Xenopus tropicalis: one gene and its partner. The protein of the gene in region 1 purifies or fractionates together with the protein of each later gene. This does not show direct contact. Links are inferred from orthologs where the notes say so. Each region holds a gene or a part of one and is shown on either strand. Other genes may lie near its edges.

Region 1 (3,946 bases):
ACTTTAGTGCTTTCCATAGTTGGTTGTGCACAGATTACCTGGAAGTCAGAAGGACACTTCACAATAGAACAAGGTGAAGGAGCAGGTACCTGCAGCACAGACACACAAATTCCTTTCAATCTATGGAATCAGATATGTCTGTATCTGTAGTAAGTCAAATCAACTGGACTTGCTGTGTTTTTTTTTCTTGAAGACGTTTCGCCAGTCATCCAACTGGCTTTCACAATTCAGAAATTACTACAGATATACCATGACCTGGATGACCTGAGCATCTTTACAAACGGATATGTCTGTGTTAAAAAAAACCTTATTTTTGGAAATTTGTTTATGCATTTTTTCTGCACAAGCCCAACTATATGAGCTCATGTTCAATTAAATGTCATCATCGTACACATAAAGAACCAGTTTTGTAAGGGCCATGGCCCATGGGTAGATTTGTTTCCCACAGTAAAACTACTCTCCCTGATACGCCTTCCAACTGGCAATTAAGTGAATCGCTGGTGGGAAAGTACAAGCAGGGGAAAACGTTGAGTGACTTTGGAAAACAAAGCAACATCTTCCCACTGGTGATTCAGTTTATTGCCAGTGGGAAGGTGTTTTTTGAAGATTATTCGCCCTTGGTAGCACAGATTTAACAGCAGGAGACTAGTGTCCCAGTGGGCCATGGCCCTAACTTGTGTGCCTACTAAATGACGTGTGCATACAAAACGCTTTGTGTGGGAACTTGTGACAGTTCTGACACCAGCTTAGTTCCACCAGTTTAGAGGGAACACTACAGAACAGTTTTATAATACTGCTATTAGTTATGGTAATAACATGTTTATACAACGATTATAGTTGAGATTTGAACAAGAAGTAAACGCATGAAATCAGTGTAAAATCTGTGCAATGGGACACACTCTGGGGTGATGTTAAAACCGATCCACTGGAAGGAGAAGCACTGCATAAACTACCTGCACGCTGCCGGCATCCTTCCAATCTGCCATCATGGCAGAAACCTATATTTCTTCTAAAATAGCTGGGCACACTCAGTCCTACTGCGGTTACTTAGATGATAAAGATTTGTTATTATTCCTGTCAAATCCTTTCCTATCCCGCATTTCCATTCAGTACATTGATCTTCCTGTGCGCACCCTCTTTCCCCTCCCACACGGCTGTGACTCCTTTGCAGGTGCGGTCACTTTAAGAATTGTGTGCCTCTCCCCTCCAGTCCCAGGCAGCAGCTGGGAAACTTTCAGCTCATTCCCTTTCTCGGTCTAGCGCTCTGCTTTTCCGCATTGTGTGGCGAGCAACCTTGTTACCGAGCTCTCCCGCCGCAGCCATAGCCCAGCCGTGGAGCTTCCTGTGAGCGCAGGTAAGAGCCATACTCAGCAACTGTGCGCACCACAAACCGGATCTGGGAAAGTTCCTTCCAGGCTGGCCGGCCAGTAGGCACTCACCTCTCCCTTGTATTTTCTATGGTGGGAATTACAGGTCCTTGTTCTACTTCAAACGCCCGTACGCCATTGCCCTAAGGGCAAGGCTTATAATAAAATGCACAATAGGAGGCTGAACAGGGCATTCATCCTTCAGGGCTGCAAGCAGCACAACTATGGGGTACCCAGTCTTTAGTGGGCTCTTAAAACAAATATTTGGTACTGTGGGTATAGCATACATGGTTCAGAATCTTACACTTCTATGGCGACCCCAGTGGGGAAAAAAGGATTTGGATGGTGGCCCTACAGCTAGATTCTCTACAGCCCTCTATAGAGAGGTGTAACTTGATCTTCTCAGGCCCCCTTAATGGACAGTGGATATTCCTGGCATATTCCATAAATCTGAAGAGTTCTCACCTATGTCTTTAGGTGGTAGCGATCCTACTGGCATTTCGGAGACCTTTTTTTTCTATGTTACTGTGTTTCATGTGAAGAGGAACTAGATTTAAGATATTCCAGGAATGGGTCATGATCAACCGAAAGACATGGGCTTAGTTGACATCTCTGAGCATGTCTCTTTAAAGTGCTGTATTGGCATTTGTTGCAGTCTTCTGATTGTTGTTGCAAACATTAGTATATCAATGGGGATCCAGCGATTCTGTTTGTAACAGATGCCAGTGTTTAAAGCAACATTACCATTTATCCTGGCACTGTATAGTGACAAGTAAGAGGGGCCTGGATGAGTTTTTGAACAAGCAGAATATCCAGGGCTATTGTGATACTAATATCTACAGTTAGTATTACTGGTTGTATATATAGTTTATGTATGTGAGTGTATAGATTGGTTAGTATAGGTTGTGTGCTGGGTTTACTCGGATGGGTTGAACTTGATGGACAATGGTCTTTTTTCAACCCTATGTAACTATGTAACTACTATCCTTTAATTTGCCATGGAACGCAAATCTCTGAGCTCTGTTTTTCTTAAACCGCATTAAAGAGGTTACATTCAATTTCCTTAATACTTTGCTTAGTTTGGCAATCTCAAAAATGTTTGTAACAATGTCACATAGTGCCCTGGCATTGCAGCAGAAGGGGCTTGGTTTTATAAAATGATTTTAAAATAATAATTTTGGCAATCAAACTTAACATGAGCAGGGAATGATTTGGGCAAGGAAGGTTTTTGAAAAGAGCAGGTTATGATCTGGGCAAGAAAAACTATTGACCTAAGCAGGGATGTTCAACCTGTAGACCTCTGGCAATTTAACCAGTCTGTGGGTTTTAAGTTCAGTTTAGAAACAGATGGAGTACTTGTCATCTCTGACATACAGATACACATTCATTAGCAGTGGGAACATATTGTGGAACTACTGTTTGTTTCCTAGAGCCAATATAAATATCTGTACCCAGCCCTATAGACGTCTGTGCAGTGCCAATATTTGTGTAACACAGTATGCATGGCTGAATGGTAAGGCTTGCTCAGTGTTTACCTCTGGCTTCTGTGATTGAGGAGCATTTTAGCTGCTGTCTTTTTTTTTTTTTTTTTTATACTGACACATTTCTTTTTCAAGTCCCATGTAAAGGGAAATGTAATGTAAAAACAGTTTTTTCTTAATAAAATTGAATTATAAGCAACTTTCCAATATAAATTCATTAAAAAATATTGGTTTTAAAATGAATGGTAGATGTAATTGCTTTTGAAATCAGTACCTGTCTAGCTGTTTATATTCTTTGCAGTTTTGGTTCTGTCTCCTAAATCAATCAAGCAGAGGCCAGCTGATTAATAGACCTGGAAGAAAACTGATGTTCACTATATTGTTTCTGGAATCAGAACCAGACAACAGAAAGGAAACATAAATACTTCTTTCAGCAGATATTAACTTTACAAACAATGTTAAAACCATTGACATTTTTTATAAATGTATATTGGAAAGTTGCTGTATTTAGTGCCCCCCCAGTTTGCAAACTGCGCATGATGTTACATCTGACCATGATGCATTACATTGGGTCAGGTACCCCAGATTTGCACAGCAAGTCTCCAGTGGTAACTGGGGAGGTTTTATTTTTCCTAAAAAATAATACAAAAAAATCTCTTGGGCACCTGAGTGCCTATATATAAATACAGCTCCGTGCTTAGAATTACATTGTCTTTTTAGCATGCAAATATAGTTATTAGGTGGAGATAGATCTCCTTTATATTCTCTGTACTGAAACATTTTGACCTTGTGGTTTATTGTAAGCTAAGGTAAAATCAATATGTCAGTTTTTAAATGCAAGTTTGTTAATACAGTGCACAGCCTTTCCATCTACTCTCACAGCTGGTTCATTATAAAGCATGGCAATTAACTGGTAGTCTGATTGTAGGGGAAGTTAACCTTTTAATTCTGCAGGGTGACAAATAAGATACTATCTGGGCTGGTGACCCCAATAACCCAAACATTGCATTGCACAAAAGGCTGAAACACTCTAATTTTTTTTATGTATCTGAGCACTTTTTAGTAGTCATTTTAACATTAAACCAAGTGACTGATTAC
Region 2 (3,939 bases), on another chromosome or scaffold:
AAAAATGTTAAAAAGTTGAAGTGGTGCTCAAATCTGTATATATATTGCAACAACATTGAACTGTAACAGATGGCACTCAAATCCAGCAAATGTGCTAAATAACTTGTTTATTGAGATCTCTGCACACTCAATAAACAAGAAAGTTATTTAGCACATTTGCTGGTAAAGGCCAGGCTGGATAATATTCTTATTTTGGAGAAACTTACGAGCTGGAAAACCGACACCAAAAACAGTTTAATAAAGTTTGGATTCCGTGGATGGTATATAGAAACATTTCACACTGATTTCCCTCCTCCTATTCTGAATTTACCGTCAGATAATTTCCCCTTGCTCTACCTTAGCCAAGAACAATGTTTGAAAAAAATAACAGCATCCCAGGACATCCAAGAGCTACAATTTTATTATATGTTATCGACTGTTTATTCAAACTTCAATGTCATGTTTTGATCAGGGTTCCCACCTGGCCAGTACTGTACCGTCCTGACCAGTAAAAAAGATGCTTAATGCCACTGTTGAAATATAAAAATATAGGAAGGCCGGTATTTCTTTCCAGAAAAGGAGTCAACCCTAGTTTTGATTCAGGAATAACATGGTGTATTAAAAACTATTTGGTGCTAATGCAAGCTGGGATCTGGCAAAGAACACAACTCAACAAAGCGCCTTTTTTAGAAGCCATGACTCTTTAATATGTGAGGTAATGTGGTAATGATGTACTTTATTACAAATCTAGCGCATTTTTAAATATATATATATATATATATATATATATGGTAATATTTGCCCTTAAGGCTTGTTTTTCACATTATTAATATCCTATATCTAATCACCATCTTGGCAAAAGTCGCCCTTTCTCGCCCTCCATCGTAAATAATTTATATACTGCCATGTCGCAGTGGACACATATAGAACAAGCGCTATTAGAATGGGAAACATTTCCCGGTCACCAAGTCAACTAATCCCACCCCTCCATGCGTCACAGGAGCGGCGATTTATCAGTGGTCGGTGGTATTCACCTATCCGAACCTTTTATTTTGCCACAGAAGGGCGGACTTGCTGCGCAGACGCCACGCCCACCACCAATTCGCAGCTGTCAATCAGGAAACGTCGTCTTGTGCTGTGCAGGTGCAGGGAGAGAGCTGCTGCATTGGTGCAATAGGAGCTGAGCCGAACCCGGAGAGAAAGGTAAGCAAAATGGCTTATGGATAAATCTGTAGGCTTTCAGGGATGGAAAAGAACCCACTGAGGGAATGAATGACTGATGGTTATCTAATTGGTTGCTAGGCTATGGCTGCTAGGGAATTGTGCAAGATGTAACCTTCATTTGTCATGGGCAAAGATGCTCAGTGCATCTCCTCATCAGCCAGAAATATGGAGAACGCGGAGTCATTATCCACTTACCTAATATCACTTGTGTATTTCCATGGAAAATACTAGAAACGGCAGTCTGCACTATTTGGGTTTGGGGCTGTGAGCAGAGCTGAATGAAATCCCCCCCCCAGTTCCTTTCTTTCCTTTACGATTTATTTGCTATGAAGGGTGATGGGGGAGGGAAGTGCTGGATCCCTGATGTGCAGCCACACAACCATTCTTTCTGCATACAGCTCCCTATGCTATGCATTAACTGCCTCATCCCATACACACGCACAATATATATATATATATATATATATATATATATATATATAATTATTACACACACTCACAATTTGTAAAAGCTCTTAGTCTTGCTGAAATACAGGCTTGTTTTGCCTTAATGCAGAAGGCTAGAGGATTGCAGTAATTAGAACTGGGTGTAGCTGTAATTGAAGAGCTATTTAAAAGATCACATTGCATTTTAAAGAAGGGGTTGCGTTTTGTAATAGATTTATAGGGGGATGGAAGGGCATATGTTATGTTCTGTGTGATTTCAGTGATGAGGAATATCCTGCTATCACATATACGAATGGCTATTTTCAAACACGAGAGTTTAAAATATCAACCTTGAATAATTTATGGGGGTATCTGAATAGGGTATCTGCATTTTTTTTCTGGATTGTGATACAAATCTGCAGTCAAATGCATCAAATCTATAGCTGTCAGTTTGCAAAGTGATTGATGTCTAAGGTTATTCAAATGTCTTTTTTTCCACTTCTTTTACAAGCAGGATATGCCAGAAATACAATGCAGAGCACACTCAATAAATTTAAACATGTTTGCTTCATACAAAAGTCATTCCCTTATCTATACATATGTTTACTGTTAAAACATTCAGTATATGCTATTAATGATACTAAGATTGAGCAAATATGAAATACTCCAAATTATTGAAACAGTGGTGTATCTTTAGATTGGAACTAATAATTCTTTTTCATCTGATTGACCATTGTTGAGGTTTGTCACCCCAAAACATCAACCACCATATATAAGTCTATAATTAAAAGCTCAACCTCCTCATCAGCATAAGAGCAGGTTTTTTTCAGCTGCCTCTTCAGCATAAAAGGTTGATGAAAAGGGGTCAGTAGATATTACATACATATCCAAATACCATACATATACAGGTATGGGATCCCTTATCCAGAAACCCGTTATCCAGAAAGTTCTGAATTACGGAAAGGCCAGCTCCCATAGACTCCAGTATAAGCAAATAATTCTAATTTTTAAAAATGATTTCCTTTTTCTCTGTAATAATACAACAGTACCTTTTACTTGATCCCAACTAACATACAATTAATCCTTATTGGAGGCAAAACAAGCCTATTGGGTTTATTTAATATTTAATTGATTTTTAGCAGACTTAAGTTATGAGGATCCAAATTACGGAAAGATCCCTTATCTGGAAAACCCCAGGTCCCAAGCATTCTGGATAACAGGTCCTATACCTGTACTAGATTTCCAAATAAAGTAAACTGTTATAGAAAAAAAAGATATTCATTCTAATGGAAGACTTGCAAACTCATTAGGCATCCGCAGTAAATTAGTCTGATCAACTAGCATAGAATAATCATTCAGAAGAGCTTTTTATGCAGTATGGCCTAAAGTGCCCTGCGATTCTTGTGCTTGTGCTGTAAAAAAACCTAATACGTCTGTACTGTGTTGTTGTCTAAGTGGTACCAGTGGTCGAACTACTAGAGGGGGGAAGGGGGTTACGACTCCACCAGAGACTGCCTGCCAGTGGTGCCTCCCTAGGGGATGCCACTAATGATATTGCTATTTTATGCTGCTTTAAACCATGCCATGGGTAAGGAAAATGGGGGTGGTGCAACAGGGAAACTAGCTGAGATTGTATACCCAGGCCTGTAGGGCTTACGTTATGTTACTAGGTGGTAATTGATAGTAACAGTAATGCAGGTAATCAGATAAAGACTCAACCTGAAAAATTATTAAGAGAGTTTATTTAGTCTTCATTGACTGACTTTCTTCATTGCTTAAACCTTAAAGGAAAAGTTACATTGAATCTATTCTACCCTACTCCAATAATTGCCCTATTCTTCTCAGTGTTTATTATTTTAAATGCTTTGTTAGAAAATACCTTATAAAATGTTACATCCGGTCATTTCATATACGGCGATCCAGAAGATGCAGAATCCACTATGCGACGATCGACATCTCCTCCTAGCCTTCCTTCTGTACAGGAAGGAGTCGGGCTAGGAGGAGATGACGATCATCGCATAGTGGATTCTGGATCGCTGTATTTGAAATGACTGGATGCAAATAAAGCAATAAACACTGGGAAGGATAGGGCAATTATTGGAGTAGGGTAGAATAGATTTTTTTACTAAAATTTTAGTGTTACTTTTCCTTTAACTGTCCTAATCTCATGGGGAGAGCTTGGAAAGCAATCTTTGCCACCAACAGGCATATTATTAACATTCTTTCTGACCAAATAAGAGCTTGTTTAATTTCAGGTATTCAAAATATATTAAGAAAATTCAAAGTAATAGTTTTATATGACCCAAAACA

Evidence for each region.
Region 2: the proteins of sytl4 (region 1) and rab3a purify together in Homo sapiens (affinity purification with mass spectrometry; 3 studies listed by BioGRID and IntAct, counting the BioPlex papers as one, with this or other methods). This does not show direct contact. The link is inferred for Xenopus tropicalis from reciprocal best matches to the Homo sapiens genes SYTL4 and RAB3A.

What each region holds. Positions count from the first base shown.
Region 1 is NC_030684.2:64,656,702-64,660,647, reverse strand, and holds the start of sytl4 (synaptotagmin-like protein 4), read left to right. Parts: upstream 1-1,146; 5' UTR 1,147-1,354; intron 1,355-3,946. UniProt on the Homo sapiens protein: Modulates exocytosis of dense-core granules and secretion of hormones in the pancreas and the pituitary. Interacts with vesicles containing negatively charged phospholipids in a Ca(2+)-independent manner.
Region 2 is NC_030677.2:103,862,669-103,866,607, forward strand, and holds the start of rab3a (ras-related protein Rab-3A), read left to right. Parts: upstream 1-1,139; 5' UTR 1,140-1,182; intron 1,183-3,939. UniProt on the Homo sapiens protein: The small GTPases Rab are key regulators of intracellular membrane trafficking, from the formation of transport vesicles to their fusion with membranes.